Macaca mulatta: one gene and its partners. The protein of the gene in region 4 interacts with the protein of the main gene of each other region in a pairwise test. Links are inferred from orthologs where the notes say so. Each region holds a gene or a part of one and is shown on either strand. Other genes may lie near its edges.

Region 1 (3,515 bases), on a different chromosome or scaffold from region 4:
GTGGTGAGTGGAGATCGCACCACTGCACTCCAGCCTCCTCGACACAGTGAGACCCAGTCTCAAACCACCACCACCACCACCGGCACCAAGCAAAGAAGAAAAAAAAAATCATTCTAATCTCAGAAGGAAATATCTACAGCCATACTGCTTCCCAGATAAGGGAAACCAGGAAAAACAATGGATTAATCCCAAACCATAGCTCCAGGGAAAGTAAGGATGTGGAAGCAAGGCCATCTCACCTGACTCACTGTGGGCTACCACTACTCCCAGCTCGTTCTCGGCAGTGGTTAGCAGGTAGTTGGACTGTGCATCACCTAGGGAGATCTAGTCACATAACACTGAAGGAAAATGAGGAGTTAGAAGTCTTCCCCCAACCTTAGCCAGCTGAGTTGTTTTTCTACTTTCTCTGTTTTGTTTTTTTGAGACGGAGTCTTGCTCTGTTACCCAGGCTGGAGAGCAGTGGCGCGATCTCAGCTCACAGCAACCTGTGCCTCCAGCGTTCCAGCGGTTCTCCTGCCTCAGTTTCCCGAGTAGCTGAGATTACAGCCATGCGCCACCACGTCCAGCTAATTTTTGTATTTTCAGTAGAGACAGGGTTTCACCATGTTGGGCCAGGCTGGTCTCGAACTCCTGACCTCAGGTGATCCACCCGCCTTGGCCTCCCAAAGTGCTGGGATTACAGGCATGAGCCACCACGCCCAGCCTCCATCTCTTCTTTTGACAAAAACCCAGAAGTCTGCTGGGAATAAAGGATACCACTTTGGCCAAGACAATGTCACCTGGGCGGAAACTCTTATAAATTTCAACCTGTAAAGAAAGAACAGGAATGGTAAGTGAAAGTTCTAGACAGGGTCTATATGAAACTGTGAACCCTTCTGGTAAAGCCAGTCTACTTTCTAATCCTGGAGGGTAGAAATCATCATTACTCATGTCAAGTCAACAACTTTTAATTGCTTCTATAGTATTATCATACAAATGAAAAGTTGTTTTTTTTTTTTTTTTTTTTTTTTTTGAGATGGAGTCTCGCTCTGTTGCCCAGGCTGGAGTGCAGTGGTACGATCTTGGCTCACTGCAACCTCCACCTCCCAGGTTCAAGCGATTCTCCTGCCTTAGCCTCCTGAGTAGCTGGGATTACAGGCGCGCAGCATGACGCTGGCTAGTTTTTGTATTTTTAGTAGAGATGGGGTTTCACCATGTTGGTCAGACTGGTCTTGAACTCCTGAGCTCGTGATCTGCCTGCCTTGGCCTTCCAAAAAGCTGGGATTACAGGTGTGCGCCACCGCACCCAGCCCTTTTTTGTTAAGGGTGGAATCCCACTGTGTCACCCAGGCTGGAGTGCAGTGATGCAATGGTAGCTCACTGCAGCCTTGGACTGCTGGACCAAGGGATCCTCCTGCCTCAGCCTCCCAAGTAGCTAGGACTACAGGTTTGTGCCACCACATAACCTCAAACTCCTGGGCTCAAGCAATCCTCCAGCCACATCCTCTCAAGCAGCTATGACTACAAGCATGAGCCACCATGCCCGCTAATTTTTAATTTTTAAAATTTTTGTAGAGACAGGGTCTCACTGTGTTGCCAGGGCTGGTCTTGAAGTCCTGGCCTCAAGTGATCCTCCCGCCTCAGCCTCCCAAAGTACTGGGATTACAGGTGTGTGCAACCATGCCTGGTCTGAGATAATACTTTTAAGGGATTGAGATTTGTAAAGCCGTTAAAAAAAGAGAACCAACCAACAACCTTGTCTTTTTCAGTTGCTCGGACATCTTCCTTGCTATAAAAAAAGAATTAACAGAAAGATTAATTATCTGTGAGAAAGAATTTTTTTTTTTTTTTTTTTTTTTAAAGACAGAGTCTCCCTCTGTCACCCAGGCTGGAGTACAGTGGCACGATCTCGGCTCACTGCAACCTCCGCCTCCTGGCTTCAGGCATTTTTCATGCCTCAGCCTCTCAAGCAGCTGGAATTACAGGCATGTGCTGCCACGCCCGGCTAGTTTTTGTATTTTTAGTGGAGATGGGGTTTCACCACATTGGCCAGGCTGGTCTTGAACTCCTGGCCTCAGGTGATCCACCCGCCTCAGCTTCCCAAAGTGCTGGGATTACAGGCATGAGTCACCTTGCCCAGCCTGTGAGAAAGAATTATTCTGTAGATTCCTAGTAAATAAAGAGCTACAAGAACAGACAGAACAAGTCTTAATTGGGACCCAGCTGCTACTCAGAGGAGCAGGGTGGAGAAGCATCCTCAGACCACACGGAGCAGCAGTATCAATACCTGATTAGATAAAGGCAGATCAGATTTGGCAAGAAACGATAAGGAGTTTTGTTGCCTCAGGGCTTGAACAGAAGCACTATAGCAAGGGTCCCCAACTTCTGGTGGCCTGTTAGGAACCGGGCTGCACAGAAGGAAGTGAGTGGCAAGCAAGCTTCATCTGTATTTACAGCTGCTCCCCAATCACACACATTACTGCCTGAGCTCCGCCCCCTGTCAGATCAAAGTGGGCATTAGATTCTCATAGAAGTATGAACCCTATTGTGAACTGTGCACATGAGGGAGCTAGGTTGCCCACTCATTATGAGAATCTAATGCTTGACGATCTGTCACTGTCTCCCATCACCCCCAGATGGGACCATCGAATTGCAGGGAAAGAAACTCAGGGTTCCCGCTGATTCTACATTATGGTGAGCTGTGTAATTATTTCATTATATATTACAGTGTAATAATAATAGAAATAAAGTACAGCATAAATGTAATGCACTTGAATCATTCTGCAACCACTCCCACCACAGTCTGTGGAAAAACTGTCTTCCAAGAAACTGGTCCCTGGTGCCAAGAAGCTTGGAGATTGCTGCACTACAGAACCACATCAAATCCTGAGGCTGGAAAGGGCCTCAAAAGTTAGATTATCTGCCTGGCAAGAAATGTTTGTCCTTTCTCAAGGAAGCCACAGGAAATCACCGTCTCACTCACAAATCTTTTCAATGTTTTATAACCTCTGAGTTCAATCTATATTAAAATTTTTAAAAAGTGCTTCCTAGAATGCCTTCCACTTTGGTTTGAGTCATCCTGACACTGATAAACTTCAGCTTCACTCAATTCTTTTTGCTTTACTTTTCATTTATTTATTTGTTTTTTGAGACAGGGTCTCACTTTGTCACCCAGGCTGGAGTGCAGTGGTACAATCTCAGCTCACTGCAACCTCCGCCTCCTAGGCTCAAGTGATCTTCCCACTTTAGCTCCACAAGTAGCTGGGACAACAGGTATGCACCACCATGCCCAGCTAATTTTTTTTTTTTTTTTTTTTTAAGAGATGGAGTCTCGCTGTGTACCCTGTGCCGGAGTGCAGTGGCGTGATCTTGGCTCACTGCAACCTCTGCCTCCCGGGTTCAGCCTCCTGAGTAGCTGGGATTACAGGCGCACGCCACCATGTCCGGCTAGTTTTTGTATTTTTAGTAGAGACGTGGTTTCACCATATTGGCCAGGCTGGTCTCAAACTCCTGACTTTGTGATCTGCCCACCTTGG
Region 2 (4,198 bases), on a different chromosome or scaffold from region 4:
GATACCCAAATGGATCCATCCCATCCCATCTACAATTAAACTAAGGAGAGAATCACTTGAGCTGCTTCCAAAGAATGTTAAGTAAACAGATTTTATTCAATCTTTCCTAGATTTTATATGAATACTTGTTATTTAATGTGGTAGTTACATTACAGTTTTACTGTATGAGCGATAGAACATTTAGTGAATCTGCAGGGCGTGGTGGCTCACGCCTGTAATCCCAGCACTTCGGGTGGCCGAGGCGGGTGGATCACGAGGTCAAGAGATCCAGACCATCCTGGCCAACATGGTGAAACCCCGTCTCTACTAAAAATACAAAAATTAGCTGGGTGCGGTGGCACACACCTGTAGTCCCAGCTGCTCAGGAGGCTGAGGCAGAAGAACTGCTTGAACCTGGGAGGCAGAGGTTGCAATGAACCAAGATCGCGCCACTGCACTCCAGCCTGGTGACAGAGCGAGACTCCATCTCAAAAAAAAAAAAGGAAAAAAAAGAATGTTTGGTGAATCAGATTAACAAACCGGAAATGATCATACCCTCTAAGACACTCTTCTAGAAGCACACTAGTCCCACTGACTCATGTTACAAATTCAAGTTGGCATCCAACTAATTTGTACAATGTGTTATCCTGATGTTTCTGCAATTATACCACCTGAAGAGGGTCCCTGTCAGTCTCTGATAGGATAATATTTATCTTATTCTCCAAGTGAGAACCCAGCATATCTCGAAGGTCAGAAAGAAAGCCTCGTTCAGTGTTGCTATGTTCACAGAGGATGACATTTATTCCTTGGGAAGCAGCATCCAAAATATCATGATGGGACATCTCACCTACCAAAAAGGAAACAGCAAATTCTTAAATGCTAGATATGGAATCTGTGGAATGAGGAAACACAAAAGCAGAAATACCAAGTTTATATTCTATATAAAGTGAATGTAATACAGCAGAACTGTTATAAATCTAGAAAGTACTGTACAGTTTTCTTTTATGTCCTCCAACTTAAAAACAGAGAAAGGTCTGGGCACGGTGGTTCACGCCTGTAATCCCAGCACTTTGGGAAGCCTAGGCAGGGGGGTCACCTGAGCTAAGGAGTTCCAGACCAGCCTAGCCAACATGGTGAAACTCCATCTGTACTAAAAACACAAAAATTAGCTGGGTGTGCTGGCGTGCGCCTGTAATCCCAGCTACTCAGGAGGCTGAGGCGGGTGAATTGCTTCAGTATGGGGGCTGGAGGTTGCAGTGAGCCGAGATTGCACCACTGCACTTCAACCTGGGTGACAGAGCAAGACTCTGTCTTGAAAATATAATAAAATAAAAATAAAAGCCATCCCATTGAGAATTCCAACTTCTTTTTCCTTGGCAGACCCCAAGGCAATCGTCCAATCCAACATATCTGGCCAGAACCAGATCTGTAAACACCCATTTTACTGTGTTTCCACCGTAGAGAGAATGACCACTGCTAAGTAAAATGAGGCCTTCAGAAAATCTGCCTCTTATGTAATAAATACCTCTGGAGGACATTCTGTGTATACTGCCCAGCAGACTTAGGCTTTGTAAGCACTAGTATTTCTGTCGTCAACTTAGTCTAATATACAAGGATGAAATGAATTTAAGATTATTTCCAGATTAAAACAAAGTATTTTTCTTTGACTTAAGCAAAATCCCTAGAAACTCTGGAGGGAATCTCATCTGTTGTGAAAAGATTTGGGGAAAACTCAAATATTCTGAATTTTTAATTTATTTATATTTGTATTTATTTTTTTAGATGGAGTTTTGTCCTATTGCCCAGGCTGGAGTGCAATAGCATAATCTCAGCTCACTGCAACCTCTGCCTCCTGGGTTCAAGTGATTCTCCTGCCTCAGCCTCTCGAGTAGCTGGAATTACAGGCACCCACCATCAAGCCTGGCTAATTTTTGTATTTTTAGTAGAGACGGGGTTTTGCCATGTTGGCCAGGCTGGTCTCGAACTCCTGGGCTCAAGTGATCTGCCCGCCTCGGCCTCCCAAAGTGCTGGGATTACAGGTGTGAGCCACCGTGTCCAGCCTAATATTCTGAATTTTTAAAAATGCAGTTTGTGAATTTGATGACTTGTAATTTAAGAGCAAAACTGCACTGTGTACAATTTGGTTTGTTCTTTAGAAAGTACAATTTTGAACTGTATTTAGAGACAGAAGGGCATACAAATTTAAGAAAAAAAAGGTTCTTAGAAAAAAAATTGAGTTTTTTCTCTAATTTTCCCACAAGAAAACATCTGTAAGTAAAAAATAAGTTTTCTTAATTCCAGAATTTTTCAGTTCCCCACACTCTTCTAGTAAGTGTCATCTCATTATAAGGAATAATTTTTATTCGAGCACTTTTTAAAACATCTTAATCTATAATAGTAAAAGTAAAAAGCAAGAAAAAGACACTAAGATGACCCAGTTGGAAGCCTTGTTTTAGGAAAGATAAGTCTGGCTGCCTGTACTGTGACAAACTCATTGGCCGGAGAAGGCATGAAAGGGGGGAAATCTGTGAAGACCCTGCAATAATTGCTGAAGCCAACGGAAAGAAAAGCTTGGCCCAGGATGGCAGCTTGGGAAAGGAAAAGCAAATGGAGAATGAAATGACAAATGAGAGAACTTACATTTGCAAGGAGCAGGCTCCCCATCTGCTGGTCTTACAGGGTGTTACCCTTAACAACCTAATACAACGAGAACACGGCCTCAGACTCACAGGGAGCGTGATGAAGTTCAGCAGAGGTCCTTTAGGAGGGGCTTTGCATCTCTGAAGTTACACTCAAAAGCAATGCCTCACAGACCAGAGACATCTAATGCTAGCCAGGTAATATTTTCTTTTTCTCCCCACAGCGAGATAGGAAGGACATTTTAACATTTTGGAACTGCCTGAATTTATTTTATGAACATATCATTATATTTTATCACTTTTTTTAAAAACTAGTTTTTAAAAAAGTATTTATGAGGAAATAGATACCCCAAATTGAGCGAGAAGCACAAAACAAAGAGCCTATACTCTTTTAAAAATGTCAGTGTTATGAAGACAAAGCTGAGGAACTATTCCAGACTGAAGGAGACTAACAACAACTAAATGCAATGTGAGATCATGGGCTGGATATGGATCAGAAAAAGAAATACTATAAACTTTTATCAACTGGAAAAATGTGAATATGGACTGTATATCAAGTAAATGTTTTAACAATATTAAATTCCCTCATTTGATAATTGTTCTATAGACTTAGAATGTCTTTGTTCTTAGAAGACTATACACTGAAATATTGAGAGGTAAAGAAATTGTCATGTCTGCAATCGATTTCTAAAATGGTCCTGGGGGAAATACATCTATATATATATATATATATATATAAAAATTTTAACTTGTATATTATATATTATATATCTATATATGCACACACAAATGTATACAGACACATATATAATATGTACATAAAGAATGTACAAATATGGCAGAATATAACCATTAGTAACCAAGGTGAAGAGCACATAGGAATTCATTGTACTATTCTTGCAACTTTTGCATAGGTCTGAAATTCCTTCTAAGTAAAATGCTAAAATGAATTTTAAAATAGCCAGACACAATGCTGTAAGATATTCATATTGAAATTTCACTTTAATCTGGTAGAAATTTAAGGACTTACAAAAATCTTTTATCTTCAGAAGAATGGAAAACAGGTAATAGTCACATACATGTTTTTTTTTTTTAATCAATTTATTGGTTTAGAGCAGTTCCATCAGGCTTTCTCAGATGCTGCTCCTTGGTACTTCGGGATGTGACAATGCTTTCAGTGCAGCAGCCTTTGTAAGAGAGTGTGCTACACAACAAGGCATGGGTGTGGGAGGCAAGGGAAGCATGGAAGTAGCCAAAGGAATGGCCAGAGGGCTAAGAGTCTAGAGCCTGGTCCTCGAAGTGGGAAAAGTAATTCTTTAACTCATTCTCTCCTAACCCTAAGAAGGAGGAGGTAAACAAACTGGCAACCCATTAAAATGTCTTCAAATCCTTTGCAGGTATAATGGGCCATGTTTGGTCACATTCCTGAGTAGTAACTACGTGAAGTAATTCTTTCAATAAAAATTAGCCAGGACCTATTAGGTAGTATCCTTAAGGAGAGAGTGTAAGGCCCAGGAGCCAATTACTGTCCAACAGAAGTGCACACTGGAGATCAAGGACAAAGTGACAGGGACCCACAA
Region 3 (3,515 bases), on a different chromosome or scaffold from region 4:
TTTAAAAACTTCTGCCTACCAGTTTGTTACCTTTTAATGTGAAATGATACACAAAGTTGGGTCAGTATATAGATGAAATTTTTAAGGGTTCTTACCCAGAGAGTTCCCGGTTCCCTTCATTTTATAAGTTTTGCTACTATTATATATGTAATAATGCCCAGCAACTCAAAGAGAGATAAATGACGTATGAATATTATTTAAGGAATATATCTGTAATAAACTGTTTGTACCTACAGATACCACCTCTGTCTTCTTTTCTATAATAACAACTATTAAAATATCTCCTCATTTTGTTTTCATGGAACCACCACCAAAGCAAGCATCAAGAAATCCTAATTTCTAGCAAGCAAGCAGGGAAGACTTTGTCTTGTAAGAACTCAGAGATCATCACATTTGTAAAGGAAAGGAGGCTGTGCTTAGAACTGGCTTCTGCATATAGCCAGGCACTTCAAAATGTGGCTCATGGACAGACCAGGAGATCCGTATCAAGGATTAGAATTTTCCATGACTCAGTGCCATCTGGAGCCTATATTCCATTTATCTCCTTCTGTGTATATTGTACTCTCAGGCATAATTGGCTCTTCTGAAAATAGCACACATTTCCTAAGTTGGATAGTGGTAGAAGCTCGCTCACATGAATATCATTTTCTCTTCTAGTTCCATCACCAGGACAGCTTCAACACAGAGTCCACAGCGTGGGGCATTTCCCAGTGTCTATCCGACAACCTCTTAAAGCCACAGCCTATGTGAGTCCAACCGTTCAAGGCAGCAGTAACATGCCTGTATCAAACGGCTTACAGCTGTATTCCAACACAGGAATCCCCACACCGAACAAAGCTGCAGCTTCTGGGATAATGGGTCGCAGTGCACTCCCAAGACCTTCGTTGGCAATAAATGGGAGTAACCTGCCTCGAAGCAAAATTGCACAACCTGTTAGAAGGTAAGAATCTTTATTTGCATAATTTCATTTGCAGTTTGGAACTAGAAACTGCTCCAGACACACGCTGACCTTTCCTTTGGCTCACTTTAACCTTAGTAAGTCACTACCCTTTGTGGCCTGACTTGTGCTCTCCTCCCTTTGAAAAGTGATGGATATCCCTGTGTGGGTCAGGTCCCCTTCTCTCTGATATCATTTTCTTCCCCTACTCCCTCATCACTATCACTCCTAACACTTTTGCTTTTACCAGACAAGCTCTGTCTCCAGAGCTTTTGTAGCTTTCTTCTCCCAAGTTACTTGCACGACTTGCTCTGTGCCTCCTTCAGGTCTTTGCTCAGACGGCAGCTCTATCCAAAAATTGTAGGGCAGGGGGAGTTGACTCTTTGGTTCATTGCTGTGTGTCCCTAATGCCAAGAACTATGCCCAGTATGGGTAGGATCTCAAATATTTGTTGAATCAGTCATTTTTAGTCAAAATATGGAAAAATGTGTCAGGCATATGTGCACATGCACACCCTCCTCCCACACATTTATGGTTTGAAAAGCATCTTAATGACATTCACCTGGGGCTTTATCAGCTTATGTTGGTAAGTTCAGTATGGTTCAGGTAGAAATTTTTTTTCCCCTTCAAAGTTTCAGAGTTTTTTTTCCTACTTCAAAGGACATTTTAGTCCAGCTCTTGGTCATGATGTACCCTTCTTGAACTGAATATTATGGAGTGTCTTATATTAAAAATCCATAAAAGTGGTTTGAAGAAAGATTGAGGAAATAAAGACAGTAAATACAGACAGCTCTTTCAAGAAATTAGGATATGAAGAAGGAGAAGGAGGAAACATAGTAAAAATTTGAAAGAGGTAGAACAAGCAATTTTTTCTGTCTTTATGCATTTATGGATATATAAATAGTTCTGTTTTTTGTTTAGAAGTAATGGATGCTCAGATCAACAACAAATTTCAAAAAACAGAAACTGTTGAAAAATAGAAAAGTAAAGACTGACCCATAATCCTACTACCAGATAGAAACAATTTTGGTACATGTTTATTTATTCAGTAATTTTTGGCTTATTCTGCTTTGTAAATGCCGAGCTGCGTCATCATGCTGATGGCTGACTAGAATCACATTATTTGATATATATGGTTATTATAGACCATACATTTATCCTTGAATTTGTGTCTCCAAACTAAACACTTGGAAAGGTCACTGCTAGACAATATAAGATGGTCTGTTTCCCCAAACTTAAGCAAATACTAGGTATTATTCCTTTTAATTTTTTTTAATTTAAATTTTTTATTTTATGTATTTTTTTAGAGACAGGGTCTTGCTCTTTTGCCCAGGCTGGAGTGCAGTGGTGTGGTCATAGCTTGTTGTAACCTCAAACTCCTGGGCTCAAGTGATCCTCCTGCCTTGCTAGGACTATAGTGCATGCCACCACTCCCAGATAATTTGAAAAAAAAAATTGTAGAGATAAAGGTCTTGCTGTGTTGCCCAAGCTGGTCTTGAATGCCTGGCCTCAAGTGTTCCTGTTGCCTTGGCCTCCCAAAGTGTTGGGATTATAGGTGTGAGCCACTGCACTCAGCCGAAGGTTCTTTTTAAATGTTTTGCCAACATGATAGGCAAATCTTTAATTACTAATACGGTTTTGAAAGTTTATTCGTATTCAGTTGCTGTTTGTATTCAACAGAGTAACCATTTATGTTTTTAGGCCATTTTTCTAGCCAGGAGTCTGTATTTTCTTATTTTAAAATATGTTTTACACATTAAGGGTATTGGCCCCTTTATTTATGTTGGAAATTTACTTGTGCAAATACAACACGCATGACACTCTGCCATGAACTGGGGCTTTGGGAGATAAGCATGCAGTGAAGACCCGTAAGTGTGAACCACAAGGCACACTTGAGATACTGCCAATGGCTTCTCATTACTGCAGTGGAGGAGCATAGATGGGAGAGTAGGTCAAAGTAAGTAATGTGACTCACAGGATTATTAACAATCTCTCTGTGTTTTTCTTGTCTCTTTTTAGTTTTCTTCAGCCTCCAAAGCCTCTGTCTTCACTCAGCACTCTGAGGGATGGAAATTGGAGAGATGGTTGCTACTGATGCAGTTTTATGTACCCTTGAGAAATGGGAAAGAAGTAAAAATGAGGGTTGTGTTACCTAGCTGGCTGGGTAGCAGTGGATGTTGGGATATTCTTTCCCTTTTGTGTTTTAATATATTTACTGCATTGTTTCTCAATGGACCAGTCACCAGAGACTAATTATTGCACTTAAATATTTGCCTGAGATACTGCAACAGTCTCAAACCCATGGTTGCAGTATTGTGACACTTAGATCTAGGAAGTTTTTGTAGAACTGCTCTGTACCTGAATACTTTTTGAGAGAATTGAGATGTATCAATAATGCTTTGCCATAGAAGTTTTTTAAAGTAACTTGTTCAATTTACTTACGTGTTCTAAACATCTTTCCATTACATGTTCTGTATTTTAATACATTGCATATTGACAACTAGGTTCTATAATGTATGCTTTGAAATTTACTTTTTTATAGTTTACAGGAATTTTATTTTTTGTGCCTATTTCTTTT
Region 4 (3,077 bases):
CTCTTCCTCCAGAAAGTCTCCCTGGCTCTGGCAGAAGCTGGAAGACTGGAGCTCACTCACCAGTGTTCTCCTTGTCAGTATCAAACAGGACGGTCAGTGAGAAAGATGACGGAGGCGGTGGTGGCGGTGGCGGGGGGAGGAAGTGGAGCGCAGAGAGGTAGCCTGGCGGGAGGAACTGGGGCTGTGGTGGAAGTGGTGGAAGTGGTGGAAGGGGCGGCAGTGGTGGCGGCGGCAGGTAGTAGCTTGGCTGGAAGTCTCCCACTGGTTCTGATGCCTGCACAGCACGCACAGCAGAGAAGCAGAGTGGAGAGAGAGTTAGCCAGATGGGCTGACCAAACATAGCTCTCACCCCCGAAGTGGGGGGCTCCTGATGGGGAGATGCATGGCCCCAAACACACAGGCACAGGCACTCGGAAGGCGGCATTCAGCAAACACCTGCCAAATTATTGAAGGCAAGAAGGAATACAGGCAACCTAAGATAAGCATGGGAACAGCTGAATGGTCACAGTGACAGAGCCCTTCTGTATATGCCAGGGCGACTGTGCTCACAATCCTAGGAGGGGGTTCTATTACTATTCCTGCTGTAAAGATGAAAAAATAGGTTCAGTGAGATGAAACTACAGGCCCAGGGCCCCAGAGCTACTTTGTGGTTAAGGGCAGAACTGGATCTCAAGTTGGCTGACTCCACAGCCCACTCAGCTGTCCAGCGCTGCTCTGCACTGGGGAAGGGTCTGAATGCATCCCAAGCCCACAGGACCCCCTGTCTGGCACATGTGGTCACTTAAACTCAAGTGCCAGCGGGGCCTTTGGGAGAAGAGGTTGGCAATGTGGGTGTAGAGCAGCTGTTTCTGAAGCAAGATACGCTGGGTGACTTCAGACAAGTGGCCTCACTGATCAACATTTTGCTGCTTCTGTTCCTTCTTCAAGGGATAGAATCCAATCCCTTACCACAGCACAGGGACCCATCACAGGATCTGGAGGGGGGATGACTACACAGCTCAGAGCTTAACCGAGAAACACACAAATGTCGTAAGAAATAATACTGAGTTTTGGATGTAGTTCCCGCTGTTTACTTCTCTATCTAGATGCTTCAGAGCAACACTTCCTGAGCTGAGTTTCATGGAGTCCTGGTGTCTTACAAAGTATTTTTTAGTACTCTAAAAGTGTTATTTGTTAAGTGACTTTGAGAAACCCCATATACTGTTCCCCACATTAGTGGGTCACACATGAGCATATTAAAGGCTTGGAAGAGTCTGCAAAAATCTCCTTAGATTAACCCAGCTAACCTGGTTGAACTTCATTCAACCACCAGGAAGGGAAGAAAGCCCACTTTTAAGTACCTACTATGTGCCAGACCCTGTGCTAGGTATTTTACATGCATCACCTTATGTATTCTACTCAGGAGCCCTAATAGACAGGTCCTCCCACCCCCACTTTACAGACCAAGACCTGAGTGAGGTCCTCAGAGGTCAGGTAACTGCCATGGGTCACATGGCTGGGACACGATGGAGAAGGCAGGATTGGACCCTAGGTCTGCCCAGCTCCACGGCCGGTGCTGTCCTGTGAACAGGAGAGCAGAGGGAGCCAAGCAGCAGCAGATGGGCAGGGACAGGAACAGGAAGGAGGAAGCTGTTCTGGAGAGCACCTCCAAGCCTTGGCAGGGGGCAGCAGGACAAGGATGAAAGTGATTCAGGGGCTCTTGGGTTTGAAACAGCTCACAAATCAATGCCTGATTCTCTCTCCAGACGTGAGAGGGTAGAAGGGGGATTATTAGTGCTTTAATTCCGAGCTGCTCAGCCAAGCATCTCCCTGGATCACAGCTCCTGCCAGGGGCCTGTGGTGGCAGCTTGGGCCCAGATAAACTGACTGAGATCACACTCTTAACAAAGGCCGTCTGGCAGGCCTGTCAATCAGAGCCCTGCCCTGGACGCCAGGCTCCAGGCTTCTGTGTGAGCAGACGGAGCGTGCTCTACTTGGCCAGAGCCCCTCTCTTTGTGTGGAGGCTGGAGATGCCTGGCTCTCCCTGGGCAGTGCCCACAGATGTCAGGCAGGCAGCAGTGCTGGTGTGAGTAAAGGGCCATGTGTGTTCTACCTCTGTGGGAGAGAGGGAGGGGCAGTGGAAAGCACCTAGACCCCAGACCTGACCTGGCTCTGTCACCAACCAGCTGTGTAACTGGAATCCTAGTCTCTCTCTCACCAGTTTTGTGACCCTGGCCAAAAGCTTAACTTCTCTGAGCCTTTTTTTCTCAATGCTACAATGGGGTACAACACCTACCTTGAAGGTTCAATAGGCACCCTGGAATTATCAAGGCCAGTGGCTTTCAAACTTTTTTCCCTTGAATCAGTGGAAAATGATTTTTAAGCACAATTTTACAACATCTAAGACAAGTGGAAGAGAAGCTGTTGCCGCCAGGCTGAAGCAGGAGTAAGGACCCAGTGACCTGTGTGCCCAACATGCCCGGGTGCAGCTCGAGCCCCATTGGACTGGCTCCACACTGTGTGGCTAATGACTTTCATTAGGGAGAGAGAGGGCTTTCAGCCATCCTAGTCTGGAAGGAGCTGGTAACCAAGGCCATAAAACTCAATCACACCTACCTCGTAGTACACACCACAGGGGTGAACTGACTTTACACACTCGGTTCTCAAAATTCCCAGCTTAGACAGAATACCAGCTAACGACTGACCTTTACTAATCTTATAAAAGGATTAAATTTCATTCTTTCAACAGGTATTTCCTAAAGTGTCAGGTGTTTGGGGGAAGGTTTCCGTATTTTTCATGACTCAGTTCAAATGCCACCTCCTCCTGAAAGCCCTCTGCAGTCTCAAGTGTGCTCTACCTGTGGGCAGGGAGTCTACCTCTGGTCCTGACTCTGCCTTAAATTTTGTGGTCCCAGTAAGGTGATATTACCTTTCTGGAGTCCAGCAAAATGAAGGGCCCTTCCAGCATCAGCATCAGTCAAGGAAGGGGTCACCCTGAATGCTCAGAGTCTTTCAGCCCACTGCCCTGAAAAGCACAGGCCATAGCCCAGGCCGAGTGGTGCAGACTGGTCCACACGTATGCTCCCAGAGACACACAC
Region 5 (4,205 bases), on a different chromosome or scaffold from region 4:
GGAACCCAGGGAAATCACGGCAGTCCTTGTTCTCACAGTCTGGTAGGGGAGAGAATCTATTGCACAGATATCTCTGTCTCCACGAAGTTGACAAGTCATAAAGAGCTCCTCAGGCAGCAAAGTGTAGAGAAAGAGAGTATGGTCCAGCGTTCTGAATTCTGGATCTGCCACTTTTTTGCTGCAGGATTTAACTAAGGTTCAGTTTCATCATCAATGAAATGGAGATCATGGTATCTACCTATATTACCAGTTTGAAATGGGTCTGTGGATGCATTGTGCAAACCCTAAAACTCTTACAAACATCGGATATTAGTACTAACTTCATTAGGAATGTGAGTTATGTCAGAGTAAAAGCTCTCAGAGCTGGGGTGAACTACAGACGGGTGGCTTCATTCCTCGACCTTCCAATTCGAGATCTTTTTCCTTCTGCGGGAGGGGAAGCAGGCAAATAGCCTGCCTCTCACAGAGTGCCCATTCCCTCCCCGGGAACCAAGGTGCTCAGGCGGGTAAACTCAGGACACAACACTGTACAACTAGTACCACAGGCAGGAGCCACTCCCTGGCCCTCGGGTCTCTCAAGCCCCGCCTGCTCCAAGCTACGGCCCCGCCCCAAAAGGAGACTGACCCCGCCCCCTCTGCGCTGGCCGGCACTCCTGCCGCGCGGAGCCTCCAGGACAGTCCCAGGCCCGTGCCGGAGATTCCCGAGCTTCCCCGATCGCTTCCCAGCCTCCCTCGGGCAGCTAGCGAGGAGGCGACGGAGATTGCCGAGAAGGGCTGGCCCCGCCCCTCCGCAGGCCGCCACCGCCCCCCTAGCCATAGCCTCCCGCGCGGGCTGGAGTCCTACATCCCGGTCCCTCCCTCCCTCTTTCTCTCTCCCCGCCTTCCCGGTGCTGCCACAGTGGCGGGTCGGAGGATCCCGGCCAGTCAGCTCGTTCCTGCCTCGCGCCCCTCCTCCCCCCAAATAAACAGCCCTCCCTACGCCTTGGGAGCCCGGACCGCCCCCTTCCTCCCTCGGCCGGCGTGTTGTGAGGGAGAGTGTGAGCCAGCGCGGCCGGCGGGCGAGCTCCGGGAGTGCGAGAGGCGGGGCAGCGCGGCGGGCCGGGCCGGGTGTCGCGTGTGCGTGCGGGGGTGCGAGCGAGTGCCCGTCGCGACCCGCCAGTGGCCCCGCGCCGACAACCCGGCGGGCGGGCGGGCGAGCGAGCGAGCGAGCGGCCAGGCGAGGAGCTCCGGGCGCGAGCCGCGGAGGGGCGCGGAGTCCGCGCGCTCGCGCGCACGCACGCACGCACGCACGCGGGGGGCGGGGGCAGGCGCGCGCCCGCCTGTCGCGACAGTCGGGGCCGAGGCCCAGGGGGAGGTGGCCTGTCGCGGGTCGCCCGGCTCCCGGAGGCGAGGGGGGCGCGGGCGGATGGCGGAGGGCGCCCAGCCGCAGCAGCCGCCTCAGCTCGGGCCCGGCGCCGCTGCCCGGGGCATGAAGCGGGAGTCGGAGCTGGAGCTGCCGGTGCCCGGAGCGGGAGGAGACGGAGCCGATCCCGGCCTGAGCAAGCGGCCGCGCACTGAGGAGGCGGCGGCCGACGGTGGCGGCGGGATGCAGGTGACCGCGCGGGACGGGGCGCCCAGTTATTGCGGGGGAGAGGGGGAGTGGCGTGAGGGGCGACCCCGGGCTCCCCGGCTTGGAAAGAGGGAGGGCCTCCGGGGGTCCTGGGTTGGAGGTGGGATGGGGGGACCAGTCGGGGCCTGGTTGGAAGGTGGGACGAGCTCGGGCTAGGAACGAAGGTTGCAGGACTGATCCTGGTGTGCCTGAGAGGGTCCTGATTCCTGAGGGGCGAGGAGGCACGACGAGTGGATAGGTTTTGGGGGGAAATCGAACGTGGTTGAGATGGATTCCATTTCTTCAAATCCTTCCTTAGTGCCCTGGGGTGGAGTGGAAGCCGGGAAATCCTGGGTTCTCTGGACGGAGTCGAGGAAGAGGGGATCTCGTGGGAAACCTCCCAAGAAGAGGGAGTACCTTTTGGCAGCCCTGGGCACCCGCTGGGATGGGGAAGAGAAGTGGCGTTTCAAGGAGAGGAGTGAAAAGCAAGAAAACTCCGAGAGAGAGCCCCGAGGGGATGTGGCTGAGATTGTGGGTTAAAACACACAGAGTGTGTGAGAAGTACAGGGAGTTTGGTAATGTTGTGGGGACACGGTGGTGCTCAGTCTCATTAACTTTGTGGAGCATACTAATGAGTCTGAAGGGAGACACCAGACATGTCCCTCCTGTTCTTTGCCAATTGCATTCTACATCTCCAGGACACAAAATAGCTCTTTAATGTCCTGGGCTATTAAAAAAAAAATTTTATAGGGCTATTATAAGACTGGATTCTCAATTCTGGATTCAAAGATAAAAGTGGTTAATTTGGGTAGGGAATGGGAAAGGTATTGATGATGTCAGTTGACTTCATAGTTTTGAGGAAGACCTTGAAACCTTTGTAGGTTTTAGGGTTTGGTCTCTGCCCAGAAAATACTGCTATGAAATGGTGAGTCTCACCTATCAGCAATTGTGCAGACATGTGCCTAGTTCTCTCAGAGTCATAGGATGTTAGAGGGATGAGGAAGACTAGACATCTTTTCCAGGGGTTCTTAACCTGGACAGACTAGGAAGATTCTTACTTATAAAAGGTGATGTGCACTTTTTGGTGGCAGAGAGTCAATAATTTTCATCTTTGTTTTTTTTGGAGGGGATTTGAGTCCCAGCTTGTTTTAACCACCTTATTTTATAGATGGGGAATCAGAAGTCCAGAGAAGATGAGTGACTTGGGTAAGGCCACCCAGTTAGCTGATAGTAAAACTAGAACCAGAAGCCTGGTCTTCTAATTCCTATTCCTGTGCTGTCTCCATTACACCACTCTTGGAAATCTCTGCAGTGCTAAAAGACTTCCTGTGCTCTGCTCCCTGCTTTTCAAGCCTCTGCCTGACTTCCTGTGTTAGGGACGGAGCTGTACTTAAGCCTAGCGTATTTGTTGTGTGCTTCTTGGTCTCCTTTGCAGAGTTTACCCTGTTACTTGTGTTGATTTAGGTAAAGTGACCCTCTTGGTGTTTATTTTTGAATTCTTTTGTTTTGTTTGCCTGCTTTTATTTTCCATTAGAACTCTGTCAGGTAGAGGGATTGTGAGAAGTAAAAGCTCAGGGCCATGGAAAAAAAGACAGGAATATGGGAGACTGCAGGTGAGGTGAGCTAATATTGGATGGTAAGGAGGGAAGACTGGATATAGGTGCTGGTGAGCAGGTTCTACTTTGTGTGTGTGTGTGTGTGTGTGTGTGTGTATGTCTGTATGTATTCATTTATCATTTCTGTCAATCATAGTTAATAGTGAGACCCCCATCCCTTTCCCTCATTTACTCCTGGGGCCTGTTATCTGCTGGTTGCCTTCAAATTGGCTAAAGATAGTGATATTCGGAAATGGAGCAATATGTAGGGACTTCACAGGGCTGTGCAGAGGAAAGAGTGGTTAGGTCCTTGGGGGTAGCTGAGAACTATCCCTCTGAGAATCCTTTTTTCACTCTGTGTATTTGTGGGTGTTCTTTGTTTATTTTCTTTCTATACATTTTTTTTTTTTTTTTTTTTTTTGCCCAGGTTGGAGTGCAATGGCACGATCTCGGCTCACTGCAACCTCCACCTCCACCTCTGGGTTCAGGCGATTCTCCTGCCTCTGCTTTCTGAGTAGATGGGATTACAGGCATGTGCCACCATGCCCAGCTAATTTTTCGTATTTTTAGTAGAGGGGGGTTTTCACCAGGTTGGCCAGGCTGTTCTCGAACTCCTGACCTCAGGTGGTCCACCCACCTCAGCCTCCCAAAATGTTGGGATTACAGGCGTGAGCCACCACACCCAGCCTTCTGTGCATTCTCGTTGTTGTAGGTCCATTCCCCTATGTCATACAGGTATTCAGATCATCACTGATTTAGGTCCTGCCTTCAACTAGCTGAGTGCCTGCAGAAATCTTTCATTTTGGGGCCTCTGTTTTCCTTAGCTATAAAATAAAGTATGTGTACAAGATGATTTCCCTCGTGATCTGCCCGCCTCGGCCTCCCAAAGTGCTGGGATTACAGGTGTGAGCCACCACGCCCGGCCGGTTTCTAAGTTACCTTCTAAAAGATATAAGTCCAGTTCACTGTGCTTAAGGTGCATGCAATCTATGTGGGGAAACAAATGGGTGAAAAGTTTTTTT

The links.
Region 1: the proteins of DMRTB1 (region 4) and EXOSC1 interact in a two-hybrid assay, tested with the Homo sapiens proteins (2 studies listed by BioGRID). The link is inferred for Macaca mulatta from reciprocal best matches to the Homo sapiens genes DMRTB1 and EXOSC1.
Region 2: the proteins of DMRTB1 (region 4) and NIF3L1 interact in a two-hybrid assay, tested with the Homo sapiens proteins (2 studies listed by BioGRID and IntAct). The two-hybrid records come from large-scale screens. The link is inferred for Macaca mulatta from reciprocal best matches to the Homo sapiens genes DMRTB1 and NIF3L1.
Region 3: the proteins of DMRTB1 (region 4) and SLAIN1 interact in a two-hybrid assay, tested with the Homo sapiens proteins (2 studies listed by BioGRID). The link is inferred for Macaca mulatta from reciprocal best matches to the Homo sapiens genes DMRTB1 and SLAIN1.
Region 5: the proteins of DMRTB1 (region 4) and RBFOX2 interact in a two-hybrid assay, tested with the Homo sapiens proteins (3 studies listed by BioGRID). The link is inferred for Macaca mulatta from reciprocal best matches to the Homo sapiens genes DMRTB1 and RBFOX2.

The regions. Positions count from the first base shown.
Region 1 is NC_133414.1:109,488,210-109,491,724, forward strand, and holds part of EXOSC1 (exosome complex component CSL4), read right to left. Parts: intron 1,769-3,515; coding exon 1,735-1,768; coding exon of another isoform or gene 1,728-1,734; intron 808-1,727; coding exon 757-807; coding exon of another isoform or gene 672-756; intron 325-671; coding exon 240-324; intron 1-239. UniProt on the Homo sapiens protein: Non-catalytic component of the RNA exosome complex which has 3'->5' exoribonuclease activity and participates in a multitude of cellular RNA processing and degradation events.
Region 2 is NC_133417.1:106,005,845-106,010,042, reverse strand, and holds the end of NIF3L1 (NIF3-like protein 1), read right to left. Parts: intron 2,677-4,198; coding exon of another isoform or gene 2,669-2,676; exon of another isoform or gene 2,620-2,668; intron 827-2,619; coding exon 642-826; 3' UTR 503-641; downstream 1-502. UniProt on the Homo sapiens protein: May function as a transcriptional corepressor through its interaction with COPS2, negatively regulating the expression of genes involved in neuronal differentiation.
Region 3 is NC_133422.1:72,554,346-72,557,860, forward strand, and holds part of SLAIN1 (SLAIN motif-containing protein 1), read left to right. Parts: intron 1-657; coding exon 658-940; intron 941-2,956; coding exon 2,957-3,032; 3' UTR 3,033-3,515. UniProt on the Homo sapiens protein: Microtubule plus-end tracking protein that might be involved in the regulation of cytoplasmic microtubule dynamics, microtubule organization and microtubule elongation.
Region 4 is NC_133406.1:187,151,280-187,154,356, forward strand, and holds part of DMRTB1 (doublesex- and mab-3-related transcription factor B1), read right to left. Parts: intron 275-3,077; coding exon 61-274; intron 1-60.
Region 5 is NC_133415.1:15,502,330-15,506,534, forward strand, and holds the start of RBFOX2 (RNA binding protein fox-1 homolog 2), read left to right. Parts: upstream 1-1,393; 5' UTR 1,394-1,405; coding exon 1,406-1,591; intron 1,592-4,205. UniProt on the Homo sapiens protein: RNA-binding protein that regulates alternative splicing events by binding to 5'-UGCAUGU-3' elements. Prevents binding of U2AF2 to the 3'-splice site.